2 linked regions of the Drosophila melanogaster genome follow. The main gene of each other region encodes a partner of the protein of the gene in region 2 in a complex. Each region holds a gene or a part of one and is shown on either strand. Other genes may lie near its edges.

Region 1 (3,546 bases), on a different chromosome or scaffold from region 2:
GATGTTTTTTTGCGCCTCTCGCGGCTACTGAGTTACCTGCAGTCGAGAGGCTTCATGTTTTTATTTTCGTTTGAATCGCTCGATACAAAGCTAAGACTGCGGAAAGATGAGTGCCACAAAACATATTTGGGTTTTTATCAAAAAGCTACATTTCTTTGTTGGAATATTAGATCTGCATACACCTGATGGCCAATCAGCGTTATTCAAAATAAACAAATCAAATATGAAACTACGTTGATACCTACTTTTGCTCATGTGAGGCCTGACTATGCTTATTTCGTTTATTTTAAAATCACATTCCTAGTTTATGTACCATTTGTTGAATTGCCAAAGGAATTAATGCCTTGTATTCTCTCCCTCGCTTCGAACTAAAATTTTGCTTAATTAACAGCAGTATTGATTATTAAATTAAACAAAAACGATAGGGTGTATCTTCAGAACAGTAAGGAGATTTCAATAGCTCTCTGATTTAGTTGGACCAGGATAAAAGCTGCTTCATGTCTGGATCATCTGTAACGCAAGTTAATCGTTAATTACCAAACGTAGATCCACATGCAGTGACTGAACTCACCATCATCCTCCACGGCAGTCGTGGTTGTCGCCTTTTTCTTTTCTTTGGCCTTCTCGGGCAAATCTTCTGTGGGTGCTTCTGGCAATGTGGGCGTCGGCTCGGGTATGCCAATGATTTCCTTATCAAAGTTCTCCTGCTCCAGCTCGTCGAGTTCCCGCTCGAGATCCTCATCATCCAGATCGGCGCCGAATGCCACTGGGTTCGAAATGGCATCGGAAATCTCGCGGGCCACGTCCTGCTGCTCGGCAATGTCATCCATCATGTCGTGCACCTTGTCCACGTCCCTGCATAAAAGTGAAAGTTAGTTCCTGGTTGATACAATGGCACAAATCCATGACTCACATATTCTGATGGGCTCTCTTGAGGGCATCCGCGGCATTCTTCATCGTGGTCAAGACGGCAGTGTTTGTGTTGGCGCTCTCCAGAGCCTCGCGCTGCATTTCGATTGTGGACAGGGTGCCATCGATCTGCTGGAGTTGCTTCTCCAGCCGCTTCTTTTTCTTGAGTGCTTGCAGGGCCACTGAAAATGTGAGAAGTGGAGGAATTAGAAGGTTTCGAGGACTGGCTTATGTATATATCCGAAATATGATTTGGCCAATTCGCAATGCGTGCTTTGAAATTACTCTACTGCATGGCTTGAGTTTGTTTTGGGTATTAAAAGTAATGTTTATATTACGTTCTGAGCGATTTGCGGACACGTCCAGGCATCGAATGGTATGCGGGTGAAAAGGCAAAGAGATACATATTGTTTATTGAGTTTTCTATTTGCTGGCAGTATGGGATACTGATTAACTGGGAGCAGGCCTCGCGGCCGCAACAAAAACAAAGCAATGAGTCATTTCCCCTTGGCCCATTTGAGTGACCAACTAGGAAGCCAAGGACCTCGGCGCACTCCTCTCATACCTCTTTTGTTTTTAGACGCATTCTTGCGGGCTATATTCAGTTCGTCCTCGATCTTGGCCTCCAGGAACTCCTGCTTTTTGATAAGCATGTTCTCCGTCTCGCGCAGCTTCTGTATCGCCTCGCCGGTGGTGGGGGCCACTTCCTTCTTGCCGCCGAACATCTTCCCGAAGAAACTCATCCTGGCTGATCTGTTTTTTCACCCGAATTTAGCGAACAAGTGAGTTTTTTTCTGCTATTGCGTTTCTTGGTTGTCTGGGAGCTGTTGTTCGTATGCGTCACCCGATACCGATTGCCGTCCCCTATCGTTATCGCCTTTGTGTATGCGCTTGGCGGAGTGGCATATTTCTCCCTTACGCAGCTGGCCACTCTGGTTAGCAAACGCCGAAAAATAAATAAATATATTCGGTGCATTTTCACATTTTGCACTGCTGCCAATAGATACCCGAATTTCTGGATTGAAAAGTCCTATTTGAGTTACGATTGACAAGGAACAAGGGTTCAACTGAAAATGGCCAACCGCACGGTGAAGGAGGCCAAAAACGTGCACGGCACCAATCCGCAGTACCTCATCGAGAAGATCATCCGTTCGAGGATATACGACTCTAAGTACTGGAAGGAGCAATGCTTTGCTCTCACTGCGGAGCTTCTGGTGGACAAGGCAATGGAGCTGCGATTCGTCGGAGGCGTCTACGGCGGCAACATCAAGCCCACCCAGTTCCTCTGCCTCACACTCAAGATGCTGCAGATTCAGCCGGAAAAGGACATCGTAGTGGAGTTTATCAAGAACGAGGAGTTCAAGTACGTTCGAGCATTGGGAGCCTTCTATCTACGGCTCACAGGAGCTGCCCTGGACTGCTACAAGTACCTGGAGCCGTTGTACATAGACAATCGAAAGCTGCGCCGCCAGAATCGCGCCGGCCAGTTCGAGATTGTCTACATGGATGAGTACATTGACGAACTGCTGCGCAACGACCGTGTCTGCGACATTATACTGCCCCGCATCCAGAAGCGCTCCATTCTCGAGGAAAACAACGAAATCGAGCCCAAGGTGTCAGTGCTGGATGAGGACTTGGACGACGAACTGCCCAGCGACGAGGAGAAGGCAGACGAGACCAACCGGCCTAAGGAGAATTCGACAGCAGTGAGACGACCACGGAGAGTTCGCTCCAAGTCAAGGTCCCGCAGTCGGGAGCGCGAGCGAAGATCTGGGCAGGGCAACAGCGCCCGTTCCCGGGATTACTACGACGAACTGGAAGACTACGACCGCCAGCGAAATAGGGTGCGCAATCGGGACACCCACAACGAGGACTATGACCGTCGGCAAAACAATGGACGCCACGATCGCGAACGAGAGCGCCAAGATCGCGACAGTATCAGGGAGCGCGAGAGGGACGGCGACAGAGATCGCCGGGATAGGGAACGAGAGCGAGAACGTGACCGTGGCCGTCACGACCAGCGGGAACGGGACTCGCGAGGAGAGCGTGACCGACGACGCTACTAAAATTATAAATAAATTGAATTAATTAACCAGTAAAAAGTGTCAGAAAATTTAAACCACAAACTCTCAATTCGCCGCAAGTTGGCATCCCTAGCACTAAGAATCGAAAATCGAAATCAAAACAATAACACAGAAGAAGAAGAAGTCAATCAGCTGTTGCTGCTTGCATTTAGAAAGTTTCGAATAGAGTAACGTTAACTGCGGGAGAATCCAGCCAGCTGTACTTGTGAAAATAATACACGTACCAGGGATTTAAGCAACAATAAATCCACGTTAATCAGCAGTAAAGCAGCTGAAGCTTTAGTATCTGAAAACTCTCCGTCGCGTTTGGAAGACTTTCAGGGAACTGCGCAGCGTTCTGGTGAATGAATTGTAAATTCCATTATCTCCGGTAGACTGGTGTAAGCCAGACGCATCCACGAGTTCCGTTCTCGATAGCGAGCAAGTAGGAACGGAACGGAACGGCAGTATGCCTCGCTCTGATACGGAGGCTTTGGTGGCCGATGTGGAGACTGGCGAAGATTCGGCACCACGCATACTGGACGCATCATCTGCGGCCAGCAGTGAGCAGGTG
Region 2 (6,813 bases):
AAATATTTTTTGTATCGGTGAAAATAAAAATGGAATTATAATATATTCATTATTATAAATGATAAATATTTATAAGTGTTAAAGACCTTATATAGTATATAATCTGGTAATGTTCGTCCGTCTGTTCGTATGAACGAAGTGAAATCAAGAATTATTACAAGCTAGAAGTTTAAAATTAAGCATACTTATTATAAAAACGGAAATTTTTTTGGAAGATGTCCCACAAACATCCCAAATCAGTTATTCTAACAGTTTTGAAAGAGGTTTTAATTAATTTTCATTTTATAAATTACCAATTCCATCAAATGCCAAAAATCTATTGGCAGTACACACATTTTGACCCCCACAATCCGCAAATTGCTGTCACGCCCACAATTTTTTTTTTTTATTTTAATAGAATTTTAAATTTATGTAGTTTGAAAACTTTTTTTTACCCTTCATTTAAATGTTTAGCAATTGTTAGTTGTAAGTTATCTAATGGATATTAGCTGCCTATCTATAAGTATCTCCGTTGTACAAAAAGTTACACAATTGGTTGAAATTTGCATTTGTACATTTATTTTTGTTTTATCGGTTTAGTGGGTTTTGCTTTGTACATGTGTAAAAGTAAAATATTTAACACAAATATTCATCTGCCTTTGTTGGTCACGTCACGTTGTCCAGTCTCCAGATTCAGCTGCGTCCCTTGGAACGGCGTGAGCTGCGCTCCCTTCGCGAACGATCACGGGATCCATCGTCACGCTCTCTTTTACGCTCCCGTTGTCCCTTCAGATCACGATCCCTATCCCGTTCCCGCTCCTTGGCACGACTGCGTTCCTTTTCGCGATCTGACCTCTCTCCACGATCTGATCTCTCTCCACGATCTGATCTCTCTCCACGGTCTGATCTCTCTCCACGGTCTGATCTTTCTCCGCGGTCCGATCTCTCTCCACGATCTGATCTCTCGTTTCTGGAGGAACGGTCACCACGACGACTGTCTTTTTCACTGCGACTACTCTCCATCCGCTTTTCGCGAGGAGCGGAGTTCTCTCTTATTGTTGGTCTTTCATAAGATCGTGATCGATCCCGTTTTCGTTGTCTATCGTGGGCAACTGCATTTCGGTTCTTCCGTTCTTTATCGTATGAACTCTCTCGGTTTCTTTCTCTGTCGTATGAAGAATTCCCCCGCTTTCGTTCTCTATCGTACGAAGAATTTCCCCTGTTTCTTTCTCTGTCGTACGAAGAATTCTCCCGGTTTCGTTCTCTGCCAGTTGAGTTATCTCTGCGCCTCTGGCCATTTCCATTCGGCTGAAAGCGATTTTTGGATCCAGGACCTTCCAAATTAAACTCATCACTATCTTGGGTCCTTCCTCGGAACTTATTTTTTTCGACATGCTCCTGGCGCTTGATCTTCGCCTGAGGCTCAGCGTCACTTTCATCGCTGGAAGAATTCGATGAGTCGGATGATTCGGAGGTGGACTTATCGCTGTCTTCGCTGCCACTGGAATCCGAGCTCTCTTGACTTTTTCTTCTGTGCTTTGATTTCTTCTTGGCAGCCTTCTTTTCCTCCTTCTTACGCTTTTTATCCTTCTCCTTTTCCTTTTTGCTCTTTCTTTGCTTCTCTTTTTCTTTTTCTTGTTCCTTTTCCGCCTTCTTCTTCTTCTTTTTGTTCTTGGTCTTTTTCGACTTCTCTTTAGTCGCTTTCTTAGATTTCTTTTTATCCTTGTCCTTGCGTTTGCGTTTCTTTTTGGGTTCCGAGCTAGAATCGGAGCTTGAAGATTCACTAGAAGAGTCGGAACTGCTGTCCTCTTCACTGGAGTCTTCGCTGTCCGTGTCCGAAGACGACGATGACGAGGAGGACGAAGATGGGGCCACCTTGGTGTTTCCAGCGGGTGCAGAGCCATCTCTGAAAGGATTCCCCCCGGCATTGGCCAGAATTTCAGCATTTATTGCGGGCACAGATTTGGGGGCGTTTTTTAGGAATCTTCTCAAATCGTCGGTGAGACCACCCAAACCAATCGAGGTGAAAAAGTTAATGGAGAAGCGGGTATTCCGTGGATTATCCTTGGGAAACAAACCAGCTATGCTCTCTACCAAAACATCATCCTTCAGCTTGGCATTCAGTTTGCCCAGTCCCATATACTCAGCTAGCTCCTGGAACAGGATTTTTATGAAAATGCGGCTCGATGACGTGGTATCATCCTCGTTCAGTTGGATGCACTCCAGCACATCCCAACTAATGGCGTCCGTAAACAGGAGATGGGCGAAGAACTTGCTGACGTTTCGCAAACGATTTGTGTCCAATCTGTGGGTGGTTTGATAGGTGTCCTTAAAAATCTCCTCGAAGGGCGGTATGTAGATCTTATTGATGTTGCAGAACCGCTGCGCCAGCAGTCCGTAGAACTTCTCGTATGTTCTCTGTTCCGCACAGCAATCGAGAAACATGTGACAGAGCTCGATTTCTTGTCCGGGTTTCAGTTGCATTTTCATCAGTTTATGAGCACACTCCTCATAATCCAAACTGGAGTTGATTGTTAAGTAAATTGTGCGTCGCAGGGCAATCAGATTGGTTTCAGTGCTGTCAATGATGTCGCCAGCCTCGGCTTTCTTTTCCGCATCGGATCCGGATTCTCCATCCGAATCACTATCCGAATCTGATCCGGAGCCCGAGCCTGAACTACTGCCATCGTCGCTTCCCAGGATCTCACGACTTAGGCCTTTGTATTTGTCCTCATTTTCGGCATAATTGTCGTCAAATTTAAAAACATCTATAAAGAAACGTAAAAATTATTAGAGTTCAATACAAACTAAACCTTTCGTAGATAAACTCACTTAGTATATCTTCCGTTTCGGTGGCTTCATCCAGCATCATCAGATGTGTGAACTGATCGTCCTCCTCAACGAGCTCCAGTTCCGGAACAACAGCCTGATGATCCTTAAAGCCATCCTTTCGAATCTGAAACAGCACCTCAATCATGTACTGTACACGCTTGTCCAACTTTCCCTCGTGCAGAATGTTTCTCAGCATCTCGAAGATGGCCCCAATGCCTTTAGACGAAACCTCAGTCAGTTTCATACCACACTCTTTCAGAAAAGCGATGGCTACCTCTACAGAATCGTCCGTTGGCGTTTCCACCAGCAGGGTAAGGATTTCTAGTGCCAGAATCTCATGTGCCACCCTCTGGTTAACCAAATGGCCAATGAATCGAGTGGCCGACATGCAAACCATCTTATCATTGCGTCGGAACGCCCTACGAAATTGGATGACCAGACGTTTGAGGAGGAGCTCTCCTATGTTCGGAAACTTTGAATTTATAATGCTCACCAGAGCGGCGTATACATGGGTGAATGTGGGCGAAGCAGCCTGGGCTTGGATGATGCTCCTGCTTAGTAAGCCCCTTCCCCTCACGATATTCTCTCTTAGAAGCTCTCTGGTGATGATGGCTATATTTGTTACATTCACTTTGTTTATGTAACCATGGATCGATTTCTTGAGAGCCTCCCAAGCAATTCTCTGATAGGCAGCGGATGATTTGTCCGTGATCTGTGACTGCATCATGCGCAGCTTCGCCGGCGGAATATAGGCTCCTCCAGTCCGAGATGTCAGCACATCGACGGTCTTTCGTTGGCGCTCAGTTATTTTGGCTGCCGGTTCGGTTACGGTTTCATTGTCTGCATTAGTTTCGGTGGTTTCGGTGTGGCGTGGGGTCTTTGAGGATTTGGATTTCGGAGTGGAGGAGGATCGATCTCTTTTGCGTTCTGGCGACCTCTTCTTTTCCCTCGAATCATCTCTACGCCTGCTGCTGGTTGGTTCGCCCTTTTGATGGCGCTTTTCTCGCTCCTTGGCTCGCTCTTCATCGCGTTTATCTCGCTCCTCATGACGTCTCTGTCGCTCAACGCGTCTTCTCTCCAAAGAATTGGATCTGCGGCGGATTGGACTTTTACTGCGACTCCGGGTCCTGCTGCCTTTGCTTCTCGAGCGACGACGACGACGGCTGCTGGGTGATGGACTCCTGCTGGATGAGCGTGGGCGTCGTCGTTTGCCATCCGGGCTGCGGCTTTGTTTTCGTTGGGTTTCTTTGGGTGGACTCTTAGATGCGACAGCTTTCTTTTCCTCTTTAGTCGGTAGGTCATCTTCGTCTTTCTAAAAAATGAAAATTTATCATATCATGATGATGAAAAAACTAGCTGATAAATGATTGTGTTGAATTAATTTCATTAATTAAATAATTTGAATTTCATTGATGACGAAATAGTAAAGCGGCTTAATACCGAATTCTACCCAAACATGATGACTTACGTCGGTTATCTCGCCCTCTTCGATGTGGTCCGCAGTGGGAGGTTTCACTGTTTCAGCTGCTGCTTCCACCGGCGATTCCTTGCTACTTCCATTGGTGGTCACTGGCTGCTCTTCATCCTTCCTCCGCTCTTCTAATTCCCGTGCAGCGTTTTCCTCTTGGGCCTTCGGGCTGTTCAGCTCTTTCGTCACACTTGAGGCTTCTGCTTCCTCTTTCCGCTGGACAGGTGTTTCAACTTTTTTCGCTTCATTTAATTTCTCGCTTTCCGCCTCCGCAGCTGCTACTGCTTCTTCTTGCTGCTTTTCCACGCCAGCAGAATGGGAAATGTGCTGGCGCTCCGAACGAGGCTCAGCCGCAGGAGTTTTCTTCTGCTCAGTGGGCTGCTCATCCTGTCCAGCATCCCTCTCCTTGGCACGCTTCTCCCCCCTATCCGTATCGTCAGTTTTCTTGGCATCTTTGGCGGATTCCTCCTGCTTTGCTTCCTCTTCCTCGCGCCCGCTGCTTTCGGAGGACGAGGACTCGCTCCTGGCGTCGCTGTCGCTGCCACTGGAAGTGTCGCTGCTGCTGGAATTGCTGCTCGAATCGCTCTCGGCATCGCTTTCCCCCATCGCGCGTTTATTTCGAGAAATTTTCAGGGAAAACAACGATGAAAATTATTGGGCAGCAAAAAACACAACGCGGCGATAGAATTAGAGATGGGACACCAGTGGCGACGGTATCGATATACACATGTGTTTGACTGCTAAATCGTATCGAAATTGTAGTTTCGATAGTCAGCTATAGAAATGCTAAATGTGTTTTTTAAATTGAACTGAAAATTTAAATTCAAGTTCCACATTAGAAAAAATGATATTTTAAAATTAATTTTATAATATGGCACTATCGTAAATTTTATAGCACAGCGAACCTCAATATTTAAGGGCAACGATTTTTTTACGACTAAAACAGTGTAATATATTTGTTATAACATATTTGGTTCATTGCACTGCAGAAATTTCGAATATCAGCTCGAAAATGGAACAAGGATATGGAACAAGAACATTAAATTTGAAACGAAACTTTTTTTTTTTAGCGATTTTTGGGCTCCAAAACGGGCAATCGTGTTTTACAACATCATGCGTGCTTCCAATTAATTTTAGGATCTGTCTTAAGGGAATGAATTGAACCATTATTTTATTGAAAATTAAAAATGATAGCTTCATCTTGAAAATAGTAAAAAAGATCCTTTATCGCTCAGTTGAATCCCCTAGAAAAATAACTGGCGCACTTTCGCAACAAAACAACTAAATTTATTTTAGTTTACAAATTGTTTATCCATAGTAAATACTTTAAAAATAAGCTTTAATCACGACGGCCTACACTAAACAAGGACCTTTTGCAGAAACCTCTAGGCCTTGCTGTCCGGTTTGGGTGGAACAGTTTCCGGTACCGATGGCGACACGTCGTCGTCGCTGGAGGATGAAGAGGAGGACGAGCTGGAGTCGTCGGCCTTCGTCCGCTTCTCGGGGATCGTGTAGGGGAACTTCTGGGATTTCTCCTCCACCGCCTGTTTCAGACGCAGCAGAGCTGTCCTGTTGATGTTTTCCAAGGATACGTCCTTAATGGCATTGGCCAAGACAACCATGGCCTTGTCGGAGTTGCCCTTGGTAGTCTGGATGTCAATGAGGCAGGAGTACGCGTTTCCGATCGCGCCCTCGGAGATTTTGCTGTTCTTCAGCTGGGAAATGACTGTGGAGGCGAGCTTCTCGTCCTGCTGCTCGCGAGCCGTCTGCAAAACGCGCTGGAACATCAGCCTTGGGGCATTGGACAGGTGCTTATCCCAAATCTCCTTAGAAGCCGCCTCCTGGCCAGTGGAAATCAAATGCATCCACAGGACATTCATGGGTCCTAGTTGATTGTGAGCAGCAAACTTCTCAGCGAGGGATTGATCTGAAAATTATCAGAAAAATTTATAGTTTTAACACTTGTTTAATAGGCATTTCTGGGACCTACATTGCGGCACCAATTCCGGGTGTTTTTCCAAAATGCCAACTGCTCCTCCGCGTGGGAACTTCTCAGCCAGCTTGGTTGACTCCTCGGGAGTTTTGGCCGCATCGATTTCTGTGGTCAAGTGCTTCAGGAACTCCTCCGCCTTTCCGGCCACTATATTGGCATGACAAAACCGATTGTCAAAGGAAATCAGACGCTTCTGCTCGTCATTCAGCTGCTGGCCAATTCTCTGCATTGTTTCCAGATCGCCTGCAGCGGCAATTTTGTTCAGGTAAAACTTGAAGATCTTGGGCTGCGGGTGCAGTTTATCGCCCAGGAGCTCCTCGACATACTTGGTGGCCTCCGTTAAGCGATCAGCTCGAACCAGGAGCTCGATCAGTCGAGAGGTGTCCAAAGCTCCAATTTTCTCGCCACTCAGAACACTTTGTTTATGCGAGATGGCTGCATCTGGATCATTGGCCTGGATTGCCTTGCGGAAGCCGGACAAATGGGAGGCGGTTTTGGGTGGCTTTGCTGTTTCCGTTTTAGCTGGCTCCTTTTTCGCAGC

Evidence for each region.
Region 1: ncm (region 2) and Prp38 share a complex: the UniProt entries of both Drosophila melanogaster proteins name them as parts of the spliceosome C complex.

Annotation. Positions count from the first base shown.
Region 1 is NT_033778.4:9,142,146-9,145,691, forward strand, and holds Prp38 (pre-mRNA processing factor 38), read left to right. Parts: upstream 1-1,810; 5' UTR 1,811-1,982; coding exon 1,983-2,975; 3' UTR 2,976-3,006; downstream 3,007-3,546. Other genes in the region: shrb (shrub), read right to left, coding at 470-510, 572-855, 914-1,091, 1,475-1,652; CG30344 (uncharacterized protein), read left to right, coding at 3,442-3,546. UniProt on the Drosophila melanogaster protein: Required for pre-mRNA splicing.
Region 2 is NT_033779.5:18,443,970-18,450,782, forward strand, and holds ncm (nucampholin), read right to left. Parts: upstream 4,989-6,813; 5' UTR 4,886-4,988; coding exon 4,280-4,885; intron 4,124-4,279; coding exon 2,812-4,123; intron 2,748-2,811; coding exon 673-2,747; 3' UTR 538-672; downstream 1-537. Other genes in the region: bsf (bicoid stability factor), read right to left, coding at 5,665-6,206, 6,270-6,813. UniProt on the Drosophila melanogaster protein: Required for pre-mRNA splicing and for exon-junction complex (EJC) assembly. Hinders eIF4AIII from non-specifically binding RNA and escorts it to the splicing machinery to promote EJC assembly on mature mRNAs.